2 linked regions of the Daphnia pulex genome follow. The protein of the gene in region 1 purifies or fractionates together with the protein of each later gene. This does not show direct contact. Links are inferred from orthologs where the notes say so. Each region holds a gene or a part of one and is shown in the gene's direction. Other genes may lie near its edges.

Region 1 (7,380 bases):
ATTGTTAGCTGTTTGATGCCATTCAGTTATTTCGAGCTATATTTTTATCAGTCATGGAGTTGGGCCACTACTCATATTCAAAGCCTCAAAAACATTTAAGGCGTTTGAAATTATTGGCGGCCTTTGTGAAATTATTCAAATTTTTTTTACCCCAATTTTTAGAGGCTTGTGAATAGGAAACGCTCAAATGTTGACGAAATCGTACGATTAAGTGATGATGACTCCTTTTTGTTATGCTGGGTTTGTTTATTTGTAATTCAACAAATCAATATATATTGTGGGATATTAAAACTACTACTAATTGCTATGGATGATTTTTTCTTCGGAAGGTTATGTTCATGATCCTGTTTCGGTCCTTGGTCAAAATAATTAAAGGCTATGCAGATTTTACGAAGAAGTTTCCTTGGAGACACCAGACATTTCTGTCGTGGCCGAACCGACGCTCGAATCGTCGTTGGTAGGAACAGGCTCGTGAATGCAGAACCAGGGCATTTTCTTCTGCAGTTCCATGCTGAAAGGATGAAGAAAAATGTGGTAAGAATGACTGTCATTTCACTATGAATAAGATGTGTTACCGATAACGGGGATGGTTGATTGCATAGATCCATGGGTTGATGCAGGATACCAATTTACAACAACAGGCAGGCACCGTGCTCAGAAGTGGTGTCAGGACGGACCTGTGAAAAGATGACGATGGTGATTTATTTGAGAACAAATTTGTTGAAAGTATTATCTCACCTATTTCCAAAAGCGGCTGTGAGAGCCACAAAGGCATAAGGAGTCCAAGCGAAAACGAACAAGGTGGCGAGAGCAATTGCAACTTTAGCAATGCGAACCTCAGCTGATTTTTCATTTTGATCGCGGTTGCTGCGCAGGGAAGTAACGTTCATCTTTTTGGCCTGGTCACGGAGAGTCTTCTCGTGGTCACCAACGGATCTCACAATTTTGGAATAGTAGAAAATGAGCATTGCCAGCGGGATGACGTAGGAGTAGACGAAAATGGAGCCAACGAAGAACCTGGTCGAAGCGTCCTCCGTCATGTAGTCGAAGGTGCAAGTGGTCAGGAAACCCTCTTCAAATGTAATCAAATATTAAGAAACAAATTCCGTGCATTCTTTGATTCAGTACTAACTGACCAGGTACATATCTGCCCCAAATGCCCAAGAAAGGCATCACCGAAAAAGGTGTGGCCCAAGCCCAGATGGCCACAATCATCAAAGTAACTTGCTTGCGAGATAATTTGCCATCCAATGGACGAGAGATAGTACTGTGAAAACAACAGAATAAATTTTTTTGACTAACGATTTAACACTTTTTTAAAAAGCTTACCGGTGGCGATCGTAAGCAATAGCGGCGTTGTTCACTGCTGAACCAATTCCATTATAACTTCCCATAAGACCGAAAACGTCGCAGCCTAATTTTCCCCAGATAGGTCCTTCATTGTAGGAGTTAATGATCATAACGGGAGATTTCAACATCATGAGCATATCCAAAATCGCAAGATTGACGACCAGCATATTTGAAGGAGTCCGCAAACTCTTACAACTTTATAAGGAAACGAAAATTCTTTTAAAATAATTTTCAAAGTTATTAAATGAATTGATTAATCACTTCGTAAAGATCCAGATGACGACTCCATTTCCAGCGACGCAACAAAACATAAAAATGGTGTAGAGAAATCCAATCATGTAGAGAAGGAACGGGTTTGGGGCCTCGAAAGTCTTCCAATAGCTAAAATGGAATATGTTTCGCTCACATTACTTTCTAATCACAAAAATCTATTAAATGTGTTTATTACGGGTGAACGTAAGACATGTAGTCTTCTGGAGTATTCCATCCCAACATACGCCTTTCCGAACTGTCAATCAATTTACATGGTGTTTACTCTAGCTGCTATTGCACTTTTTTATTTGCTATACGAACCGAAACGCGTCGTAGGTGGAGACAAATGTGCTGTTTTGGGCCATTGCTAGGAAATTTGAGAAAATTGCGAGAAGTGCTAAGAAAGTTTATAAAGAAGTATAACTTTGCAGAGGCCAGCTGGTTAGCCGCTCCTCACTGAAAATTTGTAATATTTAAATACATTAAACTGATCGAATAAATTATGATAACTCTGAATACCTTGGTTCTTTTTCAGTAGCTGAACAGACTTCAGTCAATTGCGAATCTTTGGACATCAGGACGTTGCTTTTATACCACAACTTCATGTTTAATCCAGTTATCAAAGGGTATTCGCCTCGACGACTGTGTATTAAACAGAAGCTGTAAATGTGTATTCGTAGATGCATTGAAATCAAAATCCACGTAATTGGCTTATCAATTGTATCGAAAACCCAATTCTGTGATTTTACCACAAGACTCACAAAGATTTATAAATAAGATTAAACAGATGCAGACAGCGCTGTGTATTGTATATTAGAAGACTTCAGCCCTCATTTGGATCACCGTAGCAGAGGTATATGCCACTATCGCGCGTCAGCATTCGAAAGTGCATGGGATTTACAGTACATCGGGATCGGATAAAGTATCGTACACGGAAGTTACTTCCGCAATCAATCGCAACTATTATTAATATATTAATCTAATTTCGGCAAAATAACCCTACCTACGTCTTCGTCATTTGACATTTCATTCAAGATTTCATTATTTTCATACCATTGTACACAAAATTGCTGTATTTTTAACCTTGTATTTTTAATATCATTGATTTTTTGTTGTTGACGCGATATTTACAGCAAAATTCTTTAATTTGATCTTGATTAAAACAAAATTAAAGTTACTTAAAAAAAATAGATCGGAGCCGCGGAGCGCGGACGTGAGGGGCGTGACTGGGTTGCCTTATTTGGGTATTTGGCAACGTTGTGGAAAGGGAATGGTTAAAGCAAGAGCAGGTCTCAACGTGACTTCGACTTTTTACAGTAGCCCACGAAATCGAAATGTCCGGACCGATTATTGTTCTTAGTAAGTACTGTAATTTAGAAATAGTCTAAAATTGAAGTTAAATAACGTATTGTACTTACTTTGTTAAAGGCCAGAATACCAAGAGGGAGAGTGGAAAGAAGGTTCAGATAGATAATATCACAGCCGGCAAGGTAGGCCCATTACCGCATGGAACTTGTCAAAAATTTGTTTTAAGATTTAATTGTCGATATTCATTATGTTCTTTAAACTTTTTCACATTTTGACGTAAAGTTTTTAGTTTGCAAGTAGAGATACTGTTGGTATGAGAAGGGAAACTATTTTGACATATTCAATGCATTTTTCCTGTCAGTTTCCTTTGTTACGACATTTTTACTTCAACCAAATCTTGTTTAACAGTGTTATACTTAAATTGATTTTCTTAGACTGTGGCAGATGTCATTCGAACATGTCTTGGACCACGAGCAATGCTGAAAATGCTGATGGATCCTATGGGTGGTATTGTTTTAACTAATGATGGTAATGCCATTCTTAGAGAAATCACTGTCCAGCACCCAGCTGCTAAGTCTATGATTGAGATCTCTCGCACTCAGGATGAGGAGGTACCTAATTAACCTACCTGAAAGGCAGTATTTTTCTAGATGTTAAAATGTTTTATTCTTAGGTTGGAGATGGTACTACATCAGTTATTATTCTAGCTGGAGAAGTTCTTGCTGTTTCAGAACCCTTCTTGCAGCAACAAATGCATCCTACTTTAATCATTTCTGCCTACCGTCAAGCCTTGGAAGATGCTGTTACAGTTCTAAGGGATCAAATCAGGTATGATATCACTGGTTGTAAATATTAGGCTATTTTATTGAACAATTTTTTATTTAGCACGCCTGTGGATGTCAATGATCGGTCTCAGTTGTTGTCCATCATCAAATCATGCCTAGGAACTAAATTTATTAATCGCTGGTCTGAGCAAGCTTGTCAAATTGCTCTCGATGCCGTGAGCACAGTCGTAGTTGACGAGAATGGACGTCGGGAAATCGATATCAAGCGATACGCTAAAGTTGAAAAGGTCAGTTACAAACTATTTGTGTCGACGCATCTTCAAAACTAATTTTTTTAAATATTTAGGTTCCTGGAGGTACCATGGAAGATTCTTGCGTTTTGCGGGGAGTTATGTTGAACAAGGATGTTACTCACCCAAAAATGCGTCGTCATATCGTTAAACCACGCATATTATTGCTAGATTGCAACTTGGAATACAAGAAAGGAGAAAGTCAGGTATTGACTAAACCAAGATGTCTTAACTTGAAAACATTATTTTGAAACATTATTTGTTAGACAAACATCGAGATCATGAAAGAAGAAGATTTCACTCGTATTCTAGAACTTGAGGAAGAGTATGTCCAAAAAACATGCGAAGATATCATCCGAGTAAAGCCTGATGTCGTTTTCACTGAAAAGGGTGTATCAGATTTGGCTCAGCATTACCTGGTCAAGGTAATTTTGTTTTCTCTGATCCTTTTTGGTTGATAGTACTTCAAAATTGGATTTAAATTTTCAATGAAGGCCGGTATCACTGCTATCCGTCGCGTGAGGAAATCGGACAACAACCGTATTGCTCGTGCCTCTGGAGCTACAATTGTTAACCGTACTGATGAAATTCGCGAGGAAGACATCGGCACAAAAGCTGGTCTTTTTGAAATTAAAAAGGTAAACCTAAAATTTAAAAGTGACTTATCGACACTTATTTGACATACGTTTTCTTTATAAATAGATTGGCGATGAGTACTTCTGCTTTGTGGTCGAGTGCGAAGATCCCAAAGCTTGCACGATTCTTCTACGTGGAGCTTCAAAAGACGTTCTGAATGAAGTGGAGCGAAATTTGCAAGACGCCATGAACGTTACCCGAAATGTTCTTTTGGAACCTAAACTTGTTCCTGGAGGCGGTGCTTCTGAGATGGCTTTGGCATACGTATGTCAATTCTTTATTTCAGAATAGTATGTGTTTATTCAATTGATTTTACTGTATAGGCTCTGGCTGAGAAAGCAAAGAGTTTGACTGGTGTAACTCAGGCGCCTTACCGAGCAATTGCTCAAGCCCTCGAAGTGATTCCTAGAACTCTGGCACAAAACTGTGGTGCTACCGTCATTCGAACTCTGACTGCTCTGCGAGCCAAACATGCTACTGGCGAATCAACTTGGGGTATCAATGGCGAAACCGGTGAACTGGCTGATATGAAGGATCTAGGAATTTGGGATCCTCTTGCCGTTAAACTTCAAGTCCTTAAGACAGCTGTTGAGGTTAGTTAGTTTCAGACTTGCACACTATTACTATTGTACACAAATATTTACCAATTCTTTGTTTGTTTTAGACTGCAATTCTGCTTTTGCGTATCGACGACATCGTTTCGGGATCCAAAAAGAAGGGTGCTGATAGTTCAGCTCCTGCCCCCGGCGCCGCAGCTGATCAAGAGGCCATGCGTGAATAAGAAGCCAACATGATCCCGTGATCTTGTGGAACTCTCATGGCGAACGATAATAATAATACAATGGCTTCAATCATTCACGCTTCTGCTATGCGACTAACGTTTGGCTACATTTCGTTCTTGTCAACTTCCTGAGTAATTAATTGATCTTCTGTTGGCATAGTATGTCACGCTTGCATCATCTTCGTGAACAAAATACACCATTTTTGCTCATAGTAGATTTCGTATACGAAATAAACAATTAGCTTTGAAGTGAATTGAATGCTAGATTTGTTAGACCGTATATGTTGAACAAGGAAACATGCAATATGGCCTGAAAAGATGTCCCGTGTCCGAATATTTTGCAGTGTAAGTTAAAAGATAGCGTAGTAGTGGATTAAAAGCAGATTTCAAAGCACGTTGTTCTAGAGGGAAACGCGCGCAGCAAGGCGTGCACGTCGTTTTCGATAGAACATTCGCGAACCACCAAGGAAGACACCAAGTAAGGTAGCTTTCGTAGAATCGGCAATCACCACTCTTTAGTTAATTAAAAATGAAATATTTGTAGATAAAAATTTTTTAGATAATATGAAATAAAAGCTGAAAGGTTACAAACTTGCGATTTACGAATTAAAAACGAAAGACATTTTTTTTAAAGGTTGAATATTGCCAGTATGGCAACGTTTTGCTGAACCAAACAAAAACGTTACTTTACGAATTTGTCGTCTGAAGTCTAATGCGACGACCGGTCACAACTAATGATCAGCCTGTAGAAGCAGAATTTAGAATTTCTGATGGCGACAAACGTAAGATTTGTTTGAATTAATCAATTTTTTCCTTAACGTTCTATTGAAATGCCAATCCAAATCTTTTACGAAATCATTACCTCTTTATCTACCAATGCAGGTTAGCTTACCGGCTGTGTGCCCCTCGTGTGCTGCCGGCGGAATTCGTTCATCAGTGAAGCTGTACCAGATAAATCTGGAACAAGCTGCTGTTTTCTGTGAAAATACCTCAGTAAAGTCTTTATTTCATTTGTTAGCTATATGTACTAATGTATTATTTATGTTTTCCAGTGTCCCTTTCCACTGTTTTCACAGGATGTCTGCCCGTTAGTAGTGTCACATGTTGCAGCACCCATACCAGCTGCAAACTCTAAATTCAAAACAAGAAGCATGGATACAGAATCTATGACGTCAAGTTGCTCTGGTTAGTAATAAAAGAATTTTTTCAACTACTTCAACATTTGTAGAATTAGGAAGTGAATAAGAATTTCTTTGTAATTTTTTAATTTAAAGACAAATTTTCACCAACATTGTTGTGGAATGTAAATTTAAAAAATACTAAAATAATCTCTGGTTGCTTTGTTGTTTACCTAACCTTTTTGATTAATATGTTACTTTTAGAATTGCCAAAAATAATTATTGGAATTATACATTTTTTCCAGTTTCCTCTTGGGCGTCACATGGAAGTACTATAAGCAGTCTCTCAAGCAATGTAGCTACTCCACCACCATCAATAAGCAGCAAGCCCTTTACCTGGCCATCGAGTCAATATTCAGTTTACCAACCTAAAGCAACCATGGCTCCAAAGCAAAATAATGTTTTTGATTGGATAACTCCAATTTCTTCATCTCAGTCCAGTCCTGCGTCTTCCGTATTCAGCGTCAATGACAGAGAAGTGGAGATGGTAATGGACAAGTCAGCATGTCCTACTCCTAATTCTGGACTAACCCCAAGCCCAAGCCCTACTTTATCAGATATTTTGGAAGCTGTGGGAAGCCAACCATCAGATAACAATGATTCCTACATTGAGTCACTGTGCTCATTCTTTGATGAAGTGAGCGAGGCACCAACCCCCACCATCAACTCTCCTGCCAACGAGGAAACAACTTACACGGTGACAGAATTAGTCGGTGTGCAAAGTGCTACGGTTACGGATCTGCTGAGTCAGCAACTTCAAGAAGCTGCAACCCCAGTTCGTCAATCAACAAAACGAGTGA
Region 2 (7,180 bases), on another chromosome or scaffold:
AGGCATTGAGCAGGCCCTCGGGGGATTTTGTCTGGGATTCCCAAATGCTTTTACTTATTTAATGAAAAAGTATTATAAAAATGAATTGATTAATGATTTTTATTTTAAATTAAAAAAAGATGTGATTAATAAACATATTCAAATCAAAACTATGTGTTATAAATTTATTTAACACACCTGTGCATTGTTTGGGAAAAACTACCTTGTGCATAAGTGCATTATTGTCTGATCATTGTCTGTGTGTGTAGTCTGCTAATCCTGTTTGAAATTGACTTGACTGGCTTGACTGTTCATGTTTTCGTGCATGTTAGTAGATTTCTGTATGTTTCAAATATTCTAAACTATGTAAAGTTTTTGATGATTAGACGTATAATTCAATCTTTAGTTTCTAGCCTCAATAAATTTTCTATTCATGAGGAAATGTCGTTTTACGCAGTTGCCAGGGGAAGGAGAGTGGGCATCTATCCGAGTTTGTATATTAAGTTATCACGTAATAAGAAATTTTCAGTAAAAAGGGAAAACATTTTTCAGGGCTGAATGTCAATCTCAAATACAATGCTACCCTGGTGCACAGTCCTTCCCCACAAGCTGCAAGCTGAAGGTTTCATCCAACAATGTAACTCAAGCATGACACTCAAGAAATACTGCCAGTTAAACCCAGGGCATCCTAACTTCCAAAGATTTCTGATGGTTTGAAGAAATTTGAAATCTCATTTTCTGTAAGTGGAAGTCAATCTCCTACTGCAAAAGCATTTACTTCTGGATCTCAGTTAAAGTATTATTATGCTGTAGCCATTGGTAAAATGTTGGCATTTATTCTGCTTGGTAGGAAAATGATTAAAATCATTGGGATTTGAAAAATAATTTATACAACTCTTTTTTTTTCAAATTACAGGGCAGAGTACAAGGCGCAGTTAGATGGTTGTGGATTTACCAGATATAGAAAGTTTTAAATGCACAGAAAGAAGCTGAACAGTTCATTCATGGAAATCAAATTCAAAAGGGAGTCAGAGCCTCCAATTCTCAATATAGAAAATCTCTATTTTCAATTGAGTAATATTCCTGCCATTCCTAGTATTAAAGGCATTTGTGTTCAAAATTTATCGTCAGTTTCTTTTGGATACCATACTATCCAACAAGATGAAGATGGCTTCATATACCCATCGCTCAATCAATCTACAAATCCATACTTTGATTTTCCTACGGCGCTATCTCCAAGAAGAATTATTTTTACCGCCAAATCATTTGATTTACCAGTGGCTTCATAATCTATACCAATGTTGCTATCACACATGATTTCCATCGCGAATACAAATTGTTAATCCAAACCAACGATTTTGAAAAAACTTTTCCTGTGTTTACTTTCCACATTGCCATAGCAACATGTCCTTTAACAATAGCGCCAAACCGTTTTCCGTGTAAAAGAAGGAAATGTCTTGCGGCTGTGCGCGTCATTCCGATCATTCATTAACAATAATTATTTTTTTCCTGGAGCTAGCATTTGCTACATTGCAGACGTTTTTTAAAATATAAATTGATTAAATGAAAAGACGAGCGATTGGGGTCGTTACTGTAGTAGTAGGCCTTGTCGAGTGGCAAAATAATTCAACTGCGATTTCCATACATTTAATCCCACTAGATTGAGGGAGTTTTTTTTTTATGTATTATACTATGAGAAGTCTCATGTATGTGTACTAAATAATATGATACATTGGGACTGAGAGACAAGTTTACACATTTTCTTTCACATTTGCAACACCAACTCCAACCATAAGGCCAACAACTGTAAATCCTTGTGCTGCAATCCTGAGCCTCATCATTTTTTGTGACATTTGGGGTCTCCTAATGAATCAATTCAAACAATTACAGATTTAAAAAAAATATATTATGGTCAATAACCACACAACAATCAATTTGTAAAGTTATACCCATGACGAAAGGACCACAGGCCATATGTCAATGCAGCTGCAGTTGCTAGACACCCAATAGGAACAAAAGGATTTTCAGAAAATTTTCTGTTGAATTTTTCTTTGAATGTCTCCTGGTTCTTCAAACTTTCTGATCCAATTTCCTCTCTTAACTGAATCCAGTTTAATTCTTCAGCATTTAAAGACTCAATTTCATTGTTTATTTTGCTTGATGTTTCCATTTCTCTGTACACAATCAAAGAGGAATTGTTAATAGTGTAATATAAATTGTTGAAGCAATGTACACATAACTGATCATGAATGCCAAAATATTTTAGATTTCTAAATATTTTGATAATTCACCAATTCGGTCATGAGAAGTCGATTGTGTTTATTAAATTAAAAAGGAATAATAACATACGGAGTATGATGTTTCGTTCGTTCTATAGTATCGCAATTACTTTAAATCTAAAAGTATTAAGACCGAGACTGAAAAGTTGTCAAGAAATTCCGAGTTATTACATAACAATATTCACAAATTGTAGTTGCGACGTTACTACTTGAAGGTTGAACGGTTGAACGTTGAAGCACTGCAGCGATCGGTAGCAGACAATATTTAGCGGTGGTGGCGCTCTTCTTCAAAATATCGTATCTATTTTGCCTGTATTTGATTTTGACTCTGACTTTCGTTTCAGACTTCTACCGCTTGGTGTACAGCTTCAGTGTGAGAAAATTTAATGGTTGTCTTGTCTGGCCTAAGTTAATAGATAGGTTTATTTGTTTGCGTGGGTCCACTGTCATTCCGGTTAAAATTGCCAACATAAGAAATTCTAACACTTCTGCATATTTGATCACGATTCCCGGGAATTGTGTCGTTTTCTAAAAAATGGCGGGGCTAAATGTTGCTCCCAAACGAAAGGAAATTTACAAGTACGAAGCACCATGGACTCTTTACAGTATGAATTGGTCAGTGCGTCCAGATAAGAGATTCAGGTGAGGGAGGAAGTTTAAAATTATGTATTTTATGTTTAAGAAATGTAATATTCAACTTGACTAACCTCAAATTCCTTTACAAATTAGATTGGCTATTGGAAGTTTTGTAGAAGAATACAACAACAAAGTTCAAGTAATTTCATTAGATGAAGATTCAGCAGAATTCAGTGCCAAAAGTACTTTTGATCATCCATATCCTACTACAAAAATTATGTGGATTCCTGATGCGGTATGGAACTATCCTGTTTCAAATATGGTTAAAGAAATGTTAATAATTAAGTGTGTTATCAGAAAGGTGTTTTTCCTGATTTACTGGCTACAAGTGGGGACTATCTACGCATATGGAAAGCAGGAGAACCAGACACAAGATTAGAATGCCTCCTTAACAATGTAATTTTTACATGAATTATTATTATTTACAAGAAATTTAATTCATTGAAAACAATTTCTAGAACAAAAACTCAGACTTCTGTGCTCCTCTTACAAGTTTTGATTGGAATGAAGTTGAACCTAACCTTATTGGAACATCTAGTATTGACACCACATGTACCATATGGGGTTTGGAAACTGGACAGGTAAAGCAATATCTTTAAAACTTCTTTAAATCTTATTATTCTATAACAAACTATTTATCTTAAAGGTTGTTGGTCGAGTTGGTGGCCCTGGTGTAGCAGGACACGTAAAAACTCAGTTAATCGCACATGATAAAGAGGTCTATGATATCGCATTCAGCCGGGCAGGAGGCGGGCGAGATATGTTTGCATCTGTTGGCGCTGATGGCTCCGTGAGAATGTTTGACCTTAGACACCTAGAACATTCAACAATCATATATGAAGATCCTCAGCATCGTCCTCTGTTAAGACTAGCATGGAATAGACAGGACCCTTCTTATTTAGCAACGATATCCATGGATGCTTGTGAAGTATTTTCGGTTTTTCACCTCATTTCAAATAGAGAACACGTTACAAATTTCTTTGTTACAAATGTTAGGTGGTAATACTCGATGTAAGAGTGCCGTGTACTCCCGTCGCTCGTTTGAGTAATCACAGGGCATGTGTAAATGGCATCGCTTGGGCCCCACATTCTTCCTGTCATATTTGCACAGCTGGTAAATATTTTTTATTTGTAACTAGAATTGTGCAAGTACCGTGTGCACGATGTATGCTGCCAATTGCTGTATATAATTGATCCGATTTGATCTGGTTTGTAATAATTTAGGTGATGACCATCAAGCCTTGATATGGGATATCCAGCAAATGCCGCGAGCCATTGAAGATCCCATACTTGCTTACACAGCGGCTGAAGGTGAAATCAACCAAATCCAGTGGGGAGCAACACAACCTGATTGGATTGCCATTTGCTACAATCGATCCCTTGAAATTTTACGAGTTTAATGCTTTAATACCTATATATATCAAAACTGAGTATGACTAATGTCTGAAAACTTCTCATCAGGTTATCTTAGATCGTGTTTTTTTAATAATTCGTATCCTCTCGTGAATCGGATCGTTGATTTGTAATTAAAATAAGGAAAATATCATAAGAATGTGACATTTGAGATTTTGAATTTGTCTGTACTACTAAGCAAAAACTTGGAAAAGAATGACTGAATTTGAATCAACAACATTGTTTTATTAGCTTTCTATCACAGCACTCGGATTCTGTATAAGATCAGCAGGTATTAACATCATATATATTTTTATGTTTCTCTTTAAAATTCAATTTGAGACTGCTAAGTGGTTGGTTTGATTACTTGAAATGCTTTTGTAAGCTGTTGGATTCGAAAGTTGCATAGTTTCTCGTAGCCGCTCGTTAAGTAGTTGGTATCTCTCGCGAATCTGCATTTCGTGATTTTTCTCTTCACGTTCCAAAACCTTAAGGAAACTTGATAGTTCAGCCACTGTAAATTCCTCCCACTGAAATATAGAAAGAAGAAAAAATGGGTGCGCTTATAGTTTAGCGATGGAATATGTCGAAAATTAGAGCCCCGCAATGGTATTTTACCGGAATGTCTCCATTTTGGCTTTCTTGAAGGATTAGAGTTTTGGCACAGCTAGAGGCATCGAGATTGGTATCATCGGCCTGCCAATGTTGGGCAAGTAGAAGCGGACAATCGAAATCATTCAAGCGACGAAGTCGAGCTAAATAATAGCAAATACAACATGATTTGGTATTCTGGAATTTAGTACGATCGAGTCCGACTCGTTTGAGAGAGGGAAGGTAAAAAGTATGACGAAAGAAGGATTCAAACAGATAACGAACGAACGCAAGTATGACTACGTACCTCGACTGGTTTTTCCCGGTTGCCAGCTTTTTTCATAGATGGCCAGTTTTTTTGGTTCCCAACCTGAAAGATGAGGATGGGCTTCTACGATTTGTTGTACCAGTTCGATGCACGCAATATCTCTGAAACGGGGATAAGGAGTTACAAAAGCATGTGTAAGAACGTTGACTCTGTGGGCACCCTCGTTTTAAAATTCAAACTCCCCAAGGAAATCAATACAAAAAGGACCCTGAAAAACTAGAGGCTATGACGAGAATATTGATGGAGTCTAGTTCGATCCACCTACAAATGGTAAAGAAATCGATGCAGGAGTACAAAGAATTCGCGGAAATAGGAAGAAAATTTCAACCTATTCGAGGCAGGTGCCAATTGACTAGCGTAACGAAGTAGTTCACCTCAAGAAATCGTTCTCGATTTGACCAGATTCTGTAAAGCCTCGAGAACGTGACGCTCGTCTGAGCCGACGATGTGATGATTTAGATTTACAGTGTAGCTCCCCCTCTAGCCATTTTCTAGAGACCGGTTGTATCCGGTTTGATGAAAACCGGACATTGGTTACGACTTACGAATGGTTATTTGAGACGAACGCACTTTTACCTCGGAAATGAAGTCTGGGGGCCGGGGCTTCCGTCTTGAAATACAAGAGCATACATTTGTCGCTCACGAACCACCGCGTTGTCAGAAACACCCGCAGCGATGTCATAGGTCGGACGAGGGATAGGACGGAAATCAATAAATGAGGGTAACTTGTTTTTTTGTCGGCAAAAGAAGTGCAAGTAAATTCGAATCGTTTCTGACGACGACTCGGTAGCAGCTAGAAATGAATCTTCCTCGGTTGGACGCATTTCTCCGAGGGACGAAGTTCCGGAATCGTTCAGGACGGATTGGTTATTATTAACGGCCTTGCTTTCAAATGACTGCTGGCTGGAGGAGGCGTCGCTCATCAAGTCGCAAGAATCGGCTTCAAACATCCAACGAAGAGTCACTTCATAAAGGCTTGAAAACCTCCAATCATCGTTTGAATCTTCGGGGACCACCAGATGACCGCCCGCCGTTGTGATGGCGACCGATGCAGTTGAGGGCTCAGCTATTCTTTTGATCGCAGACGGTGAACTGGAAGCAGAGGCATAGCCGCTGCTACGACGTGATCTCTGACCATTGATTCCAGTCACAATTCGAGTTTCGTCGATGTGCAGGATATCCACCATTTTGCCCACAGCGCAGTCCAGTAGAACATCTTCTTCGATGACCGTTTCTACTGGAATGCTAGCGACTCCCTTGATTTTAAATAAACGACAAAAGAAACTCCGATAAGTCATTATAGATTATACATTAGATTGCTGTGATAAGCGTGTTGTACCATGGGACTTATGGATGTTGCGCATTTCTTTCTGGGTCGTAGGAAGATCCATTTATCCTTGTCGACTTGAATCACGCGGCCGCTCCCGTCATCGGTAGCGACAGTGGATGGATTAACAGTTTCGGGAGCGATGTCGGCGATCCAGCCTCTTCGTTTGGCCCAAGTCGGCCACTGATGTTGGGCAAACTCTTCGAAATTCTTCAGCATCGAATCAAACGACAGAGGCGATTTGCTAGGCGATTCGAGTTGTTCGTGCTGAGGATCGGCGCTAACAGCTCTTCTGCGGAAGGAAGGCGAAGCGGGCAACGAAATGCTGGTTCTTTTCCCATCTCCGACTTCTTCACTGTAAATCGAGCAGCAAATTGAGAATAAACAAATTGAAAAATGAAAGTCTCCCAAAAACGACAGCCTTACCTGTGTACGCGCTTAAGGGATTGTCGGTGAGAGGTCGGAGAAGTCAGTCGGCTATTGGGGGGTTGATGATTGTTTAAGCTTAGTGATTGTCCCATCTCGAGACCATTCGTCTTTGTTGCTTGATCGATATATAGTCTTGGCAGCAGGCAGACTTTTCCAGGCTGAGTCGCACGATATATCGACCAACGCCGCCGATATGTAGCGTTTAGAGATAAAACACGT

The links.
Region 2: the proteins of T-complex protein 1 subunit gamma-like (region 1) and DDB1- and CUL4-associated factor 7 purify together in Homo sapiens (affinity purification with mass spectrometry; 4 studies listed by BioGRID and IntAct, counting the BioPlex papers as one, with this or other methods). This does not show direct contact. The link is inferred for Daphnia pulex from reciprocal best matches to the Homo sapiens genes CCT3 and DCAF7.

Annotation. Positions count from the first base shown.
Region 1 is NC_060017.1:2,680,185-2,687,564, reverse strand, and holds T-complex protein 1 subunit gamma-like, read left to right. Parts: upstream 1-2,806; 5' UTR 2,807-2,936; coding exon 2,937-2,961; intron 2,962-3,030; coding exon 3,031-3,092; intron 3,093-3,344; coding exon 3,345-3,521; intron 3,522-3,583; coding exon 3,584-3,738; intron 3,739-3,795; coding exon 3,796-3,982; intron 3,983-4,041; coding exon 4,042-4,191; intron 4,192-4,251; coding exon 4,252-4,410; intron 4,411-4,479; coding exon 4,480-4,623; intron 4,624-4,687; coding exon 4,688-4,885; intron 4,886-4,944; coding exon 4,945-5,214; intron 5,215-5,285; coding exon 5,286-5,402; 3' UTR 5,403-5,614; downstream 5,615-7,380. Other genes in the region: opsin, ultraviolet-sensitive-like, read right to left, coding at 388-511, 576-677, 739-1,072, 1,137-1,267, 1,330-1,545, 1,612-1,731, 1,799-1,858, 1,924-1,967; flocculation protein FLO11-like, read left to right, coding at 6,173-6,184, 6,285-6,395, 6,455-6,587, 6,826-7,380. UniProt on the Homo sapiens protein: Component of the chaperonin-containing T-complex (TRiC), a molecular chaperone complex that assists the folding of actin, tubulin and other proteins upon ATP hydrolysis.
Region 2 is NC_060025.1:4,762,571-4,769,750, forward strand, and holds DDB1- and CUL4-associated factor 7, read left to right. Parts: upstream 1-2,593; 5' UTR 2,594-2,793; coding exon 2,794-2,900; intron 2,901-2,987; coding exon 2,988-3,129; intron 3,130-3,191; coding exon 3,192-3,290; intron 3,291-3,352; coding exon 3,353-3,475; intron 3,476-3,540; coding exon 3,541-3,822; intron 3,823-3,890; coding exon 3,891-4,008; intron 4,009-4,118; coding exon 4,119-4,294; 3' UTR 4,295-4,521; downstream 4,522-7,180. Other genes in the region: uncharacterized protein LOC124202359, read right to left, coding at 4,619-4,816, 4,905-5,041, 5,185-5,306, 5,782-6,461, 6,545-6,887, 6,959-7,053. UniProt on the Homo sapiens protein: Involved in craniofacial development. Acts upstream of the EDN1 pathway and is required for formation of the upper jaw equivalent, the palatoquadrate. The activity required for EDN1 pathway function differs between the first and second arches.